4 linked regions of the Drosophila melanogaster genome follow. The protein of the gene in region 1 interacts with the protein of each later gene in a pairwise test. Each region holds a gene or a part of one and is shown in the gene's direction. Other genes may lie near its edges.

Evidence for each region.
Region 2: the proteins of Pph13 (region 1) and eg interact in a two-hybrid assay, tested with the Drosophila melanogaster proteins (one large-scale study listed by BioGRID).
Region 3: the proteins of Pph13 (region 1) and CG15336 interact in a two-hybrid assay, tested with the Drosophila melanogaster proteins (one large-scale study listed by BioGRID).
Region 4: the proteins of Pph13 (region 1) and CG3603 interact in a two-hybrid assay, tested with the Drosophila melanogaster proteins (one large-scale study listed by BioGRID).

The regions. Positions count from the first base shown.
Region 1 is NT_033779.5:575,593-580,150, forward strand, and holds Pph13 (PvuII-PstI homology 13), read left to right. Parts: upstream 1-1,893; 5' UTR 1,894-2,400; coding exon 2,401-2,441; intron 2,442-2,562; coding exon 2,563-2,828; intron 2,829-2,891; coding exon 2,892-3,658; 3' UTR 3,659-3,957; downstream 3,958-4,558. Other genes in the region: Ptth (prothoracicotropic hormone), read right to left, coding at 185-430, 489-812, 922-1,008.
Region 2 is NT_037436.4:21,806,749-21,811,729, forward strand, and holds the start of eg (eagle), read left to right. Parts: upstream 1-1,954; 5' UTR 1,955-2,056; intron 2,057-2,090; exon of another isoform or gene 2,091-2,489; intron 2,490-4,981.
Region 3 is NC_004354.4:8,145,967-8,149,489, forward strand, and holds CG15336 (uncharacterized protein), read left to right. Parts: upstream 1-1,982; 5' UTR 1,983-2,048; coding exon 2,049-2,528; 3' UTR 2,529-2,739; downstream 2,740-3,523. Other genes in the region: CG2129 (uncharacterized protein), read left to right, coding at 1-1,380; CG10959 (uncharacterized protein), read left to right, coding at 2,932-3,510.
Region 4 is NC_004354.4:2,945,835-2,949,644, forward strand, and holds CG3603 (uncharacterized protein), read left to right. Parts: upstream 1-2,199; 5' UTR 2,200-2,271; coding exon 2,272-2,314; intron 2,315-2,383; coding exon 2,384-3,090; 3' UTR 3,091-3,286; downstream 3,287-3,810. Other genes in the region: CG14423 (uncharacterized protein), read left to right, coding at 1-615; CG17959 (uncharacterized protein), read left to right, coding at 1,271-1,717.

The DNA.
Region 1 (4,558 bases):
ACAAATTATCTAAGAGAAAGCTCAAACATGAACATTAAGCTACATATAAGAATCAAAAGAATGCCTTAAAAATAACAATCTGTTTCATATCGAATCTCTCCCACAATAAAGCAACTTTGACGTCTTTTTGGCGCTTTAATATACAATTAATTCACATTCACGATAGTTGCTCACATCCTTTCAATCACTTTGTGCAGAAGCAGCCGGCAGTTACGGTGACCGTTTTGAACTGCCAAGGTTGATCCTTGTTCATCCACGAATAGGGGTGATCGGACTGAGAGGTCTGTGCCAGGACCTTTACCTTATATTCCAGTGGCCTGCAATTGGATCCATGCGAGCACTTGGCCAGATCCCGACCAGCGCCCGATTCGCAAACGGCATTCATCAGAAAGCGAGGGAAGTGCAGACCACCCAGATCCACGAGCTCATTCTGGGAATAACAAAATAATTATAAACATCTGACGCGGCTGAATGGTATCCCAACGAACCGTAACTTTGCAGTCGCAGCCTGCGGAATGGACATCATTGCGTTTGGTGGTCACCAGATCCTCATAGAAATCGTTATAGTACATGGGCGGCAGCTGATGGGGCATGACCATCGCCATCTCTGTGGGATGTGGAGTGCTGGGACTGAATCCGAATAGGGCACTGAGCATTTTCGATGTACTGCGATCGGGCTGCTGCTCCTCCGCGCGGTGTTCCAGACTCCTTAGACCCACCATCTCGTCCAAACCTTCATCGCTGGCGTACTGACTGGCGATTCCTTTATTTGTCAGGCTAAGCAGCGCCATTGCCATAATGGAAATGGGCAACTTGGAACGGAAGGGTTTTAAAATGAATTCAGTTCGGAGTATATCCTTGTGCGCCCTCCTTTGTAATTTCGTTTCTATATCTTTCGGCTCTCATCCAGATGAAACTTACCCACGGCATCATGCTCGATCTGTGCCTGACCAGCGCTGTACTCCTTCTGCAGCTCTGGCCAAGGAGTCGCCATACTTTTATATCCATTTAGGACAAAAGCCGCCTCTCGGATTACCTTTTGTGCCAGAGATGAGAGCAGCAGCATCCATTACGGTTCGTCACCTGGACAGGATGGAACAATGGACTCCACAGTTGACACCACAACAATGGCAAGCCATGCCAAGCTCAAGTGGCCCGGCTGATGGGGTTGAGTCCCTCGGCTATTTATACTCCTCTGCTGCTTTCAATGCTTCAATGGGGGAAATGGCTTTAAGGCCTCAAGTGCCGGCAGAGGTGGAGAACTTTGGGCGGTGGGAGTAGCCAAAAGAAGCCCACTGACCCAGACATGTGTGCAGAGGCAAAGGGCAATCCGATCTCCTCCCATCGATAACGTTGACCAGGGTGGGTTTCTGGATTTTTGGTTTCCGAAACGGCTCCGAAACTTTTTCCATAGCATACTTTTGAGTGAGGAGCTGTGGGAAATGCAATTCCGATTGTATTTTACTTGTCGGATTTCCCCCAAATGGATGACATTTCCGTTTCATGGTCTTGTTTAAAGAATATTGTTTTTATAATGTGCAAAGGCAGATGAATGGTAAAAATAGTGGTTTATAGTCTTATGTAGAATTCTTAAACATTTTCCAGCTATGCACATCCTCCGAAGGCACCATGAGTTGCCATAAATTATGAGCTCACTATGTCTCCCACTTGGGCCAGTTTGGGTGAGGAGCACCGCCACTGGCATAACAAGCCCGGCTAGAACGACTGTCCAAGAGGCTAGACCGGGTCAGACCTCTTAGGCACATAGTATATACCCCTGTTCGTAGGGAGCCCGCGAGTGTGCGAGTGCCAGTGGACTGTGGTCGACTTCTACGGCTTCTGTCGACGGACAGCACGCACTGTCACTGTTCCCCGTGGAAATCCAAAATCCTCCTCAGTCGAATTCGCGTCGTCGAGGCAAGAACAGTGCCCGTGCCACAAGGTTGGACATGCACAGCTGGACAATCTGACATCGCTTAGCCATCAGCAGCTACATAGGTTCGAGCAAGGGAAGTCGGGACTTGGAATCGGAATCAGAATAAAAAACCAGGAGCGGAGGAGATGCAGATTCCGCTGGTGGGCGACTTATGCTGAGCTCCGCAGCTGCCTGTCTCCAAAGACTTCATCCGTGCTTTCGCCGTTGTTGTTGTGCAGTTTTTCCGCCGTGGAATTTGTCGAAGCGGAAAAGCGAGAAGAAGCAGCGACGCGAAGCCCTCGAAGTGTCGACGAAAATCGTTAAAAAATAGAAAAACACACGGCGACTATGTCACGACGCGCTTGAAGAGCCCCATCCTCGCTGAGGGAGATATTGAGATTGAGCGGGATCCACACCTCAGTGGCCACTACTCGCCACCCACTCCGCCAACGTCAACGTTCACCAACAGGAAGCTCAGGATTCGCATGGACAAAGGCACAATGAAGCGCAAGCAGCGGAGATACAGGTATAGCAGATACATTCGAAATGTACATATATCGCGGTATAAATCCAAAAACTGGACTAGTTTCATAAGTATCTACTAAAGCTATAGGTGCACTAACACTAGTTTTCCTAATGATCCGCAGAACCACATTTAACACACTGCAACTGCAGGAGCTGGAAAGGGCGTTCCAGCGGACACACTATCCGGACGTGTTTTTCCGAGAGGAGCTGGCCGTGAGGATCGATTTGACGGAGGCGAGGGTGCAGGTGTGGTTCCAGAACCGGCGGGCCAAGTGGCGCAAGCAGGAGAAGATCGGTGGGCTTGGCGGAGATTATAAGGAGGGTGCGTTGGATCTCGACGTGTCCTACGACGACAGCGCCGTCCTGGGCCAACTGGATAGTGCGCTGGGTAAGAAAGGATATCTCTGTTACCTATCAACCCATCGCTAGTAATGACCCATATTGATTTCAGGCGGCGGTGGAACTCTATTGCCGGACACCCCACCGCAATCCTCGAACTCCCTTGATAACGAACTTAAGGCCTCCTACGGCACGGGGGCCATGTCGCCCTCTAGGCTGTCACCGAATATATTTCTCAACCTCAACATTGACCACTTGGGACTGGAGCGGGGTGGCAGTGGCCTCTCCATGGAGTGGTCCACATATCCTCCGCAAACGCAAGCGCAGACACACCCGCAGATGGACTCCGACAATCAGCTCCAGCAGCACCCGCCTCAACAGCATGCATCCGATCCGATTCACGCCGGGAGTTCGAGTCATCACCAGCAGCAGCAGCAGCAGCACCAGCAGGAGCAGCACAATCCCCAGCTTCATCCGGGGCTTGAGTTTGCCGCCTCATTGAGTTTGGACATGACCGATGGCTCCTCCGCCTACGACGAGATGAAGTTTCTCAGCGTGGACGTGGACCAGTTCACGATCGACAGCTTCAAGGCGGACTGCATTCTGAGCATGGAGCAGTCCCAGATGCAGGCCTACGGCGGTCACTCCCAGCTGGTCGGATCATCCAATGAACTGTGCCTGGACGGGATTGGCATGTCCTCCTTTGGCATGGAAGAGGGTGAGCCCAAGTCGCCTCCCTCTCTTTTGGTGCTGGACAAGTCGCTGCCCTCTTTGAGCATAGGCGTGGAAGGAATCGCTGATCTCGTGGAGCAACTGCATCATCACCAGCATGAGGGCGGCCCAGTGGGCGGTGGTGTCATCACTGGCGATGTCATGTGAATCCAACTTAGGCGAATTCTCAGTTTCTCAGCGGTAAACTGAAGTGCGAAACCTGCTCTAGTTATATTCTTGTTTTCTAGTCAATGTTAATGTCTAAGTTCAAGACCCAACAAGGTCGCCACACTTGACTACAAATATTTGGATGGTTAACTTACAAAAATTTTAGTACTAAATACTAGTTTATCTGAAGTTGTATTACTTTAGTCCTGGAAATGTGTCTTGATAAATAGCAAAGTGGTTTACATAAAGAGAACCTGTAAGTTTATAACATTTGAAAACAACGAGAATTGTTGAAAAAGAATATTTTTCGTAGTGTACATTTGTGAATTTCGAAACATTCGAATCGAATCGAAACGAAACGGAACGGAACGGGTCCTTGACTACGAGCACGGGTACCTTTTCTGGCCAGGCTCAGCCATAGCTTCTATGGATTCCGCATGTGTGTGCCAAACAAAGGAACCCCCCCCCCCTACGCCCCTGCCACGTCCCCTACCCTCTGCACACGCCTTATTTGTGGCTCGGATTAGAGGCAAGCTAGTTGTGCGATTTGAATGGATTTCGGCTTCCAGTGCTGTTTGTTCGGCAATAACATTTGCTTTGCTTTTTAACAATTACCAAAGACCGCTCCACGCTCCTCCCTGACCTGCCCACTGGTTGGCTGTAATTTCCATTTACTCCTATTAACGAGGATTTCTGTAGCTCCTGATCCTAAGCATCCTCAACGAACAACTCCTACGCTCCATTAAGTGAAAAGCTCACAGCAGAGATGATAAATATGGTGAAATTTAATGAAATTGTCAGTTAGTTCTAAAGTACTACAATAGATATGCTATTCTCATTACACGGCGAGATCCAGATCACATGAGGGCATCTCGCTTGATTAAGACTCGTCCGGTTTGG
Region 2 (4,981 bases), on another chromosome or scaffold:
TTAAAGTTTCTTGCTCTCCGCTCCGTATCGCTTCAAGTGGCCACAATTTGAGGCAGATTGCGCTCTAATAAATATGGGCAGCCATCTAAGCTAATGCCCCAACTCATCACCGAGTTGAGAGATGAGCACGCAAGCAGGCGAGATACGCATGCGCCCGTTGCCAAGGCCCAAACTTAATTAAAAATTTGGAGAGAGCGGAGGGAAAATTTCAGATTGCCCACGAGCTGAAGAAATTTTAATATGACGACCAAATTGCACCGCAGCAGCTCCAGGAGCTGCATCGCCACTTGGCAGATTATGACGACAACTATACTGACAGGCAGAGCCAGAGGAAACTACTCCAAGAAACTAGCCAGATTCAGTTGCAGTCGCAATCGGAGTCTCCGTTCCAGTTCATGGCTAAATGCTTTTGGCTGTGATAAATTACACGTCGTTTTAGAGTGTTGCGCTTCCTTGTTACTCCGTCAAGTGGTGTTGACACGGCCGCGGCGAATGCAGAGTATTAAACGATCTCCGCCGTGGCACTCTTCTTCCGTCCAGTGGTGTTATTAAAATGAAATCATCATCATCACCAAGTGACAGAAGCCGGGAGTCTGAGCCTGAGCCTGAGCCTGAGTCTAAGTCTGAGCTGAGATGAGTTGAGATGGAGGGACAGACAACGACTGGTCAAATGCCCGGGGATCACTTTAGTGGGCATCTCGGCGCACGAAGGCAGTCATCTGATCATGCTTATGACAGGAGAATTCAATTAGACATATGGAAACGCGTTGATTGTTCCACTGGCAATTTTGCGCCTGGTGGCAATCCGATTTAAGCAGCACAGAACTAGCATTGATTATTTTGCAATTGTTGTTGAAGTACCGTATCGAATGTATTTAAATGGATACCATTTAGCCCTAATAAAATTGATTCCTTGTTAAACAATCTCATGCAACTTTTATTTTATTTACGCTCACAAGAATATAGCTTTATATATACCATTAGTGGCAGAATTTTGTATTCAACCTAAAAGAATTCTGCAGTGCCCCCAGATAGAATAAACCAACATCTATGCATATGTTTTCCATGTGGTCATCTCCAATCGTTATCAATCCGACAAAGATTCACATAAAAATATTTAAATATACGAAAGACTAGGGAGGCGAACTTGTTTTCTCCATTTTGCAGGTCAAGCCACAAATAACCTCTGATGTTTTCTTGGTTTCTCCCAATGTTTGTTTACACTGATCGCCGGGCATTAAGTGCCCACCTCCTTGCCACATTAGTCGTCCAATACGAGTTCAATTGGATGCACATGCACAACGAAGCAAACCAGGGCCAACACTCTCGCGGCCAATACACTCAAATGATAACAGTACCGTGTGTAGAGTCAAACGGGGGTAAAAAGACATCAGCCAACAGCCAACCGCATCGACACAGTATTCAATGGAAACGAACGAAACGCTTGGAGATCGTGCCGGTGCCAACAGCCAACCACAGTTCAGCTCTCAGAAGATGCGACGCTTTAACATTTACGGAGAGCGGAGAGTCGCGAACCGAGCTGGAAACGTACAGCAAACATGTTCGAAGCGAGGTCGGTAGCAGGGTGCACTTGGAGAAAAATGTTAGCACTCTTAATATACATAAATGCGTTTTGACTTATTTCAGTTAGCGTTGTAGAAACAAAAAACTGCATTTTTTCAGGGTACTAACTTGTCAATAATATCTTTAATATATTATTTAATAATATATATTTAATATAATTGTTTTAAAATTCTCCCGAAAATAACAAATCTTGTTTCGTTAACAGTTCAGTCAACAGATCTTACCGCCATAACATTGCTGTTAAACCGGCAGAACGGAGCACGCGCACCATTCGCCACAGCAGCTGTTTGCCAAACAGGATTTCCTGCAGCGACGGCCGCCGATTAACAGTTAAGTTTCGCCGTGCCCTGCCACTGTTGCAAACGCACGCACACAATCTAGCGACGCGTGCGCTTTGTTGTCTTGTTGCCGCTGCTGTTGCTGTTAGTGCTGCTGTTCGTGCTGCCGCGCTGCAGATGCTGCTGCTGCTGGGGTAAGATGATCTTTGAGGCCAGGGCCGCGCTGCCAGTTCGAGTCTGTTTGGCGCTCAGAACGACGGCGACGATTTAGTCTCGGATGGACGCTACGCTGCCAAGCACCGTCAGTCAGGCTTTCGCTGTTCTCTCGCTCTCGCAATCGCATTATATCCGACCGATCGCGAAGTTTTTCGGCACTATGTGCGCCACGTGATTGCTGAAATCTCCTTCGAAAGCCGTCGCTATATCATCAGCGATAATTCGGATTTAAGGTGTCATGTGAAGAGTGTGTTTGATATAATCAGTTGATTTTCATTCAAACGTATCCCAGTGTGTGAAGTTAAAAAAAAAACTGGAAAAATTAACATCTAAAGAGGAAAAAATAAATAAATAGTGAGTTGGTAAAAACATCGAATTTATGCTGTTGTGGAAATATATGATCTGGAAAAGGTAAGATTTTGTTGTATATGAGCTTATGCTATTAAAAAATGGCTAAGTCTCCCTGCTGACAAACAAAACATATTAAGAGAATAAATAAAACATTTATTCATTGAATTAATGAGACAACAACAAGTTGAGATGCTGGACACATAATTCAAACGCTAAAACAATAGATAAATACAAGCAATATATATATTAAAGGCTTAATTGAATAAAAACCATTTTGCATAATTTCCATAAATTTGTCGGATGGTTGTTGTAAGTCAAAATAAATCGCAAATAAAAGATTAATACCGAAAACAATTGCATTATAAAAACCAAACCAATTAAAGACTGAAATTATACAATTTAATAATATTTTTAGCAATAATTGAAATACTTAGTACAAACTATTAAAATCAAAACAAAAAACCAACAATAAAAAGACAAATCTGTTGCGAAGAAATGGCCCAACTATCCCCAGCTATCAAGGACCAAGCTTAACTCCCATGAGTTCGTACTCACACCACTAAGGAGGACCAAGGAGAACCAGAAAAAGTGTAATGGTGAAGACAAAAGAAGCTCATTGACATGCTCATTAATAATGTTATTGCCTTTTGTGCGATAAGTGTCAAGAAATTTCTACAATAGGGGCTGCGAATGGACAAAGATGGGAGATATTCAAACATTTAATTGTCCAACTGCTGTCGGCAATCAAGCAGAAAAGGGCCAGGGGCAGCCTGAAGCGACTGGATCGTGGATCCTCGATCGCGAAGGAAGAAGGATCAAGGATGGAGGATGGAGGATGGAGGATGGAGGATGGAGGATGGAGGATGGAGGATGGAGGATGGAGGATCGCAGATCAAGAATTGCGGAAGCAGACAATTCAAACTAGAGCGTGTGACTGCTGAGTGGATTTGCATACTGCGAATGTCCGTCTCCAGTGGTTGGCAGGGCTAATAATAAAGCATATTACCGGCAATTGTGCGCGAGATGGAAGGCGATTCGGGTGTAGGAAGGGTTTGGGCTTGGGTTTGGGTTTGGGTTAGGGCTTGGACTTGGATTTGGATTGCAGATTGTGTCAATGCTCCGGGGTTCGGTTCAGTGGGCTGTGTTCTTGATTCTTGTTCTATTTTGTAGCGGCTTCAAAATATTTGAGACAATCGTGGTTTGCTTGTTTGAACACCTTTTCTCCCTCTGTTGCCTTTATCAGATTTGGCATTGTCCATCATTTTGTTTGCTTTAAAGGACACATTTTTTTGGGACCTTGTTTATTATTCCTATTGAGAGAAGTCCAACGTTCTGCCCACTTTTTTTCAGCTCTGTCAACAGCGAGTTGATGAGCTTGTTGAGAATGTGGCAGCGACCAACTGATCTGGTTCTTATTGTCTAAGCCGCTCTGAACTTGTCCCCATCGAGTTCATCTGCAGATCTCCATAGATTAGATCCGAACAATCTCCTCCACTTGGCTTGCGATCAATATACAGTTGTAGTTTCTGTAGCAGTTTAGGTTTCTAATTAATTGTCTGTTTCTGCCCAATGTGTAACATTAATCTTGGCTTAATCGATAAGTCTGACAGCCAAGATCGTTCCTATATCTGGTCTGATCTGTTCGGTTCGATATACACTCAGAAATGAACAATGGGGATTCTGTTTTTAAATTTGAAAGGAACCTGCAGAGTCAAATATTTCGAATTGGCACAACCAAAGACACTAGAATGTCTTTGGCACAACTCTCGTCTACTCATTGTTTTCCCACAAATCGAACTGGCCATCGGACCTAAGCATTGCATTCACCTTAAATTTGGGCTCGGCTTGAGGACTTGTAATTAGCTCGAAGCATGGGAATTATGTACTCCTCCATGACATCTACTACTTCTATGCGCTGACTTAAAGGGGTCCTAAAGATGCCCCAAGAACAAGACTCTCAAATATGCGCCCGGTTACGTGGATCAGTGGCCTTGGTCGTTGTCGTCGTGATAAAGCCAAAAAGATTGAGATGCCGCCTGCGGATAGGGATCTGCAAGTTTATAGCTCGAGCGTGCCGCTCAATTGGATTTCAATCGGGTTTCTCAATAAGGATCGAAATGATTTTTGACTTTTTGGTTCTTTATCTACGAAGTTCAGGTACGGCGAGATGTATTGCAATTTACAGCACTTCTATGCATATTAAGTGCATAAATATTTAGTTTTATGAGTGCTTATTTATGAAAGCAGTGCAGCAGTAATATAGGTTGTTCCCAATGTCGAAGGTAAATGCACCTATTTGATGTAATTATACTCATTTTTCGGCTAACACGATGCTTATGAATCCATTTCCCCAAAACTCCTCCATTCAGAGATCTTCTTTCTAGCTGAGTGCAATCTGGCTTACCACTCCAGCTCCACCACGAACTGCGGTTCTGAGTCTTTGGGACCCAGAGATGGAAGATCTCCTCGATGATTTTCCTGCTTTCTGAAAAAGTGCACCGCTGTGCCGAAAATTGTCACGGTTTCGCGGTCGATGGCTCGCTTGCTGTGAA
Region 3 (3,523 bases), on another chromosome or scaffold:
CCGGACACGTACGCCGGAATGGCGAACGCCAAGTGCGGCGAGATCTACTTCCAGAGCCTGCACAGCTTCCGCATCGACTGTGCGTTCTGCGAGATGAAGAGCTTTGTGTTCGGAGACTTCCTGCTCCACGTCCAGAACATTCACTTCGAGAACGGCCTGCTGAAGACGGAGGCAACGGACGCCGGTGCGAATCTCAAGCAGGAGCGGGATCGTGAGCGGGAGCCTAACTCGCCGGTGCCCATTGTGGCGCAGGTGAATCCATTTGCCTGGTACGAGATTGGTGGCGATCACAACGAGGACAGCGACGATGAGCGCGTTGTCCTGGAAAAGCAGGATGAGGACGAAGATGAGCGGCCAGGCAGAAGCATAATCAAGTGGCAGGACCATCAGTCGCTGACCAGCGAATCTCTACGTCAAGTCCGAGCCCTCAAGGTGGACTACAAGGAGGAAGACTCCGAGCAGGAGGAGTGCGGCATGGAGCTGGATCTGGACAGCGAAGGCAGGCACTCTGCCAAGATTCCGCACTCGTGTCCGCACTGCACAAAAGTTTACCAGAGCCGCAAGGTCCTCGAACGCCACATAATGCGCCAGCACAAAGACACTCTCTCGCCGGATGTGGACAGCGAGGACGCGGACTACGAGCCGCCCAAGGATGCGCCCGTCAAGTCCGCTGCCCAGGAGTACAAGTGCGAGCACTGCGGCAAGATCTACCATGGCAAATACAGTCTGCGTCAGCATTTAAAGCGGGATCATGACAACGGCGAGGAAGGAGGCTCCGCCATCTTCACCTGCCTGGAATGCGAGGCCCAATTGCCGCGCCTGCGCCTGCTGGACGAGCACATGGTGCAGGCGCATGGCGGCGCTGCCTGTGTGGTTTGCGGGCGGCGCTACAAGACGCGACACGAACTGAAACGCCACCAGCTCAAGCACACCAGCGAACGGAACGTGCCCTGCCCGCATCCCGGCTGCGGCAAGCGCTTCTTCACCATCCGTCATATGCGCAATCACGGCAAGGTGCACACGGAGCAAAAGAACTTCGTCTGCGAGAGCTGCGGCTACAGCTGCCGGAACAAGGAGACGCTGCGCGTCCACATCAGGAGCCACACGGGCGAACGGCCGTTCGGGTGTCAAGTGTGCGACAAAAGATTCCCCTCCCATTCCGGCCTGCGAGAGCACATGGCCATGCATTCCACGGAGCGACCGCATGTGTGCAGCGTTTGCGGTGCGACCTTCTCCCGACAGAAAGGCCTCTACCACCACAAGTTCCTGCACGCGGACACCAAGCAGTTCGTGTGCAAGCTGTGCGGGAATGCCTATGCCCAGGCCGCCGGTCTCGCTGGACATATGCGCAAGCACCGGAACGACGAGCTCAACGGATAGGATCCGGATCACCGAGGTCGTAGTCTAAGTTGTACGTTTTGTATCTTCCAATTCCGACGTTTAAGTTCAGGAACTCAGGCATAGGCTATATATAGGATTACCATAGAAATCAATGGTTTTTTGCATTGCTCCGGCATGGAGCGGGTATCATGTGACTCTTCGGTCCTCGTTTCACGGGTTTCCATCGAATTTATTTGACACGCACTGTAAATAATATCCCTAGTTTTAGATAAACTGAAAGTTTGTTAATCTGTTTCGAGTGAACTTAGTTTGAGGCAAATTTAATTGGCTCGATTGTAAGTACTAAGACTAAACTACATTTCCATGAATTTTCTAAACTACCAACTCAAATAATAACTAAACTTTGTTAAGGTTTAAACTATACATTAAGCACACAATGCTTCCAAGAACCAAATCGAACGCCGTAATCTCGGCAACCGGATGTGGCTAGTATTCGAATGGTTAACTTTTTTGTATTGATAAATATACATAACATGAATTTGATTCGCAAAAGAGAGCCCGCGTTTAAAATTAGCCAAGCGATTTGGTACCTTTGACAGCAATTAATCGGTCGACTGCTGCTAAAGCGGCCAAATGCCAAGATGGTATTGGATGGGGTGCGTCTAACAATAGTGCCGACGATTAGATTTGGCACACGCGGACCGACCATGTCGGCGGAACGTCCAGCTGCCAGCTCCGATAATCGGCGACTTATGTGCGAGTTCTGCGGCTATCGGACGCGCATCTATTGGAATCTGCAGATCCATCGTCGGCGACACACCGGCGAAATGCCCTTCAGTTGCCAGCAATGCCAGGCGCGTTTCCCGGCCAGCTATCAGCTGAAAAGCCACTTGGAGCGGCACTTGGACGCCGGCGAGCGACGCCAGCGGCACATTTGCACCGACTGCAACGTGGGTTTCTCCAGTTCGCGGGCCCTGTACCATCACCGGACGCTCCACGAGGATGGGAAGCGCTTCAAGTGCTCCCAGTGCGACAAGTCGTTCGCTCAGGCGGCGGGCTACGCCCAACACAAGCGGATTCACCGCCAGAGGAACCAGCGAGCCACCGAAACCACGGATCTGAAGGATCTGCAGATCAAAAGAGTGGTTTCAAGTGTTTTTCATCGGCGCGAGTTTAACACTGCATAAAATTCAGTGGAGTAATTAACATTTTATTTTTGTGTCATATTCAAATTTAAAAAAACCGGGTAACCGATTCGTTATTTCAACTGAAGTGCCTTATAAATAAAACAGGCAGTATCACTTTCTAAGAGTCTGGTAACAAATTGGTAACACTTGAGAGGAGCATATTGCTTAGCTATTTAATATACATAGATCAAATATAATTAATTTTGAACTTAAAATTTATTTTGTAGTTTATTCGGTCAAACGGTTAGTTTGGTTTGAAACATAGCTGAATGGCTGTGAAATCAGTGCTGGTTTGAGTCTGCACTAAATGTCTATCGAAGTCGATCGAAATTTTGTTTACATATTTTATTTTAATTTTGGTAAATAATATTGCAACAATTTTAATGTAAATAAGAATCAGAAAATGTTGAGACACTGCCTCGCCAACGTCGACTACGTCCGCCTGCACGCCCAGCAGCAGTTGCGTCCCAAATGCGGCGAGATCTTCTACGAACCGGAGGCGAATAGATTCCAACTGGTCTGCCTGCTCTGCGACATGAAGCACTTTGGATTCGAGGACTTCGCCCGCCATATCCGTAATGTGCACTTCGACAAGCAGGGCCGACCGCTCACCAAGACGGTCACGGGACTGGGCAGACTAGCACGAGAGGAACAGGAGTTCCAAGGGGTCAGCGCAGAACCATTGGCTGTGGACAGCTTCAAGAAAGAGTACCTGCCCAACGAGGATGTTCTGTCGGAGGAGGAGGACGCGGAACAGGAGCTGGGACTGGAACAGGACGAGGGCAATCCACTACGCATCATGGTGCTCGGGGGTAAACAGTCCGTGGACGAGGAGACCATCGATACGATGTGGCAGCCGGATCATGACAGTTCCTCCGCATCCGTCAACGAGGGGTGCGCTCTGGAGGCTCTGTTGGGCGTGGAAAATCCGCAAGACTATCAACCGGATGAGGACGGGGAGGAGCACCAGTCTGTTTTTAAGGTAGAAAAACTGT
Region 4 (3,810 bases), on another chromosome or scaffold:
ACAGTGACCTCGACAGGCACCATTCCCTCGGCCACTGGCACCATTACCACTTCGCCCACAACACCCACCTCGACGACATCGAGCGCACGGCAAACGATTATCAAGGGTGCCCGATATGGCAGCAACGATGACGACCAGGAGCAGAATCAGGAACAGGATCAGGATCAGGACCAAGAACAGGACCAGGAGCTGGCCCAACCCGCACAGGCCTACCCCGCCGAGTTGATGGACGAGCAGGCTCTGCAGGCCGCCCTGGCCGCTGGCGCCCAGGAATACGAGGTGGTCACCACTGAGCACGAGGTCCAGGGAACTGGCGGAGCCACCGTCGAAGGCGGCAAGGCCACCCAAAGCAATAACCATATCAGTCTGCGACGCAAAGGCGCCCGCCGCGGCCAGGTGATCAGCGTTCGCATCCCACCCCGCTACCGCCGCTACTTCAAGAACGGCCAGAAGGTGATGCTCAATACCGGTAGTCGTCCCGTCTCCAAGCGTCGCGTGGTTCGCAAGCGAGTGCCTGCCAAGAAAATCAACAAGAACAACCGGAGGCGCAACGGCAACAAGAAGAATCGTCGCAATCGCAACAAGAACCGTCGCAATCGCATCACCGCCGTCTAAGGATCTAGGATTCAAGGTCAGGATCCAACGATCCGACACATTCCGGCAAGATAATTTTTTTTTCTAATTTATTGTAGCCTAACTTGCTACTGCCACACTTCCTGCGGCAGGATAAACGATAAATAAAGCCCTTCAAGAATAACAAAACTGCATTCTTACTTTATCTTTGCGCGGTAATAATACTAATAATAAAAATAGTAAATTGTATAACAAAATAATAAGATTATAAGAGAATAAGAACGGGCTAAAATATAGTTGCGAATAGCAAGTAAGGTAGGAATTAAACTGAAGAAACTGAGTACATACCTTACCCACAATTTACTTTAGGCTCATTTACATCTTCATATTAATTGCTTATACAATTTTTCAAAAAACATCCCTCTAAAGATCGGAGGTTACAGCGATGAAGCACCAAAGATCAATGATCGTTGATCTTCAGAAGCAAAGAAAGGCAAAAACAATAGTTGGTACAATCTCCTTTATGGGCATAGAATCAAAGAAAAAACAAAAGTCTGTGAAAAGTACGCACTTGACCCACATTTTTGGGACGAAATCACCAAAGAGATCAGATCGTGACGAATGATGGGGCAATTTTCGGGTATTTAAGCGGCTGTTTAGCCCGGGGCTCAGTACAAACATGGCTGGACAGCGATTTATGATCGTACTGATCGTGGTTTCAATCTTGTTACCATCAATTCCGGAGGCTTCTGCCAAAGCCTGTGGATCGAGACTCCAGTTGCGGGCTCAAAATGATCCCGTTGACCTCAGTCGTTTGAGCGAGAAGCAGCTAAAACAGCTGGCTGAGCAGTTGGCAAAATTCAAAACGCAGAAGGACGAATATGGCGGTGATCTGGTGGAGGAAGAGGATGACCCAGAACAGGATCAGCAGCTGGAGGATGCCGAGGACGATCACCGCGGCGGAAGTCGTCCATGGAACAGGGTGCAGCGGATAATCCGAAGACAGCTGATAAAAATACCCAAGAGATATCTCAAGAAGCTCCTAAGGCAATTTGGATTGGCCCGGAGTGCTGGATATAGCGGTGTCCGGAGTGCGAACTTGACTCCCCAGCTGGAGGAGTACTACCTAATACCACTGCAGTGAAATTATTGACCGGAAATAAATACAAACATTTTGAAAATACAACACTTTTACGTACACTCTTTTGGGCGCTGGGCTAAAAACAATTGCTGAGTATTGAGTATTGCTCGTACTCAATACTGTTGGCTATCAAATAGCCTTCCTTAAAGCAAAAATGAATGGAAAATATTAATATTTTTAAACATGACAAATTAAATGAATTTCCATTTAGTTGCCATCAGAGACGTAGACGTATTTTTTAAACGAGCCTAAAACTATGTTTCGGCAAACAAACATAAAATTCATATACAAAGCACAATTTTTTTTTTAAGCGCTTTTGTGATCTTTGGACTCTTACATTTTTTTCTTGATAAACATATGGTTCCACCGAAAAGCTCTGACAACGATCGTGTGGTAAAAAGCTTTCCACCACTTCACTTATGTTTCATTTGTTCATAGCCAATCAGCTTTGGAACAGCTGTTGGCCGGCGATATATTTTAGTGATTATATAGTTGTCGCACGACCGTTGAGGAGAAAACAAGTGAAAACTGCTGTTTACTAAGTCATTTTTAGAGCCATGTCAGTGGGAGTACTAGCTGGAAAAGTAGCCCTGGTAACAGGTGTGTATTCGTTTGTTTTCTCTTGATATCTGCTCTTTATATGGGACTCTTCTAAACTGGAGTTTTTAGGTGCCGGATCAGGAATTGGTCGTGCCACCTGCCGCCTTTTGGCCAGAGATGGTGCCAAAGTGATCGCCGTTGACCGCAATCTAAAGGCGGCCCAAGAAACCGTACAGGAATTGGGCTCTGAGCGATCTGCCGCCCTGGAGGTGGACGTTTCCTCTGCCCAGAGTGTTCAATTCTCGGTGGCCGAGGCCCTAAAGAAATTCCAGCAGGCACCCACTATTGTGGTCAATTCGGCTGGAATAACCCGAGATGGTTATCTGCTCAAGATGCCCGAACGGGACTACGATGACGTATACGGGGTCAATCTGAAGGGCACCTTTCTGGTTACCCAGGCCTATGCCAAGGCCATGATCGAGCAGAAACTGGAAAACGGCACCATTGTGAACCTCTCAAGCATCGTGGCCAAGATGAACAACGTGGGCCAGGCCAACTATGCGGCCACCAAGGCGGGCGTGATCTCCTTCACGGAGGTGGCCTCCAAGGAGTTCGGAAAGTTTGGCATCCGTGTGAACTGCATCCTGCCAGGCTACATAGACACGCCCATGGTAGCGGTTGTGCCCGATTCTGTAAAGCAGGAGGTGGTACAACGATGCCCCTTGGGCCGATTGGGTCAGCCGGAGGAGATCGCCGAGGTCATTGCCTTTTTGGCCTCCCCGCAATCGTCATACGTCAATGGGGCTGCCATCGAGGTCACCGGGGGCCTTAAATAATCGTGAAATGCATATATGCAATATAACTTTCGTAGATCTAAGGCATCTAACACGCAGCTTGTATAGATTATACTTGCCTGGTTGTTCCATATTAGAAAAATGGATTCCCTATATATATATATATATATATATTGCAAGAGTAGGACCAGATTATTGCATTTACTTGTCAAGCCATTCGTAAAAAGTTTTTTTTTTTATCAACGTTAACATATGGTTGCTAACAGCTGTATCACATTTTGTTGCCAGGAAAAGCTGGTTAATAAGACTAGTTACACTTTAAAAACGTATTATGCTATCAAATTACTAAACATGTTTTCCAATCAGAAATTTAATCTCACACCTGTTGATATTGTCTTCAAATTCAAACACGCCATCTATGAGTGATCTTTCTTCGGCTTATCGATACTATCGTTTAAATCGTAACATGACAATGACAATATATATAGCATATCTTTAGGGGTAGTATTGTAACATCTTTTTTATTGATATGCCCATAAGAATGCCAAATATTTATGATCAGAAATCTATGCTCTAATAAGTTAAAGAACCGCTACTTCACCATACCATAGCAACATTGCGACATTGTGACCACAAAAGGACCGTCGAAGTGGGAAATGGAATGTTGCGACACGGCTTGTTGTGGTTTATTGGCAAGGCTTTTGGTCGGCTATTCGTTATTTGGACCCACCGAAATGTACAATATTAATACATTTCACAATT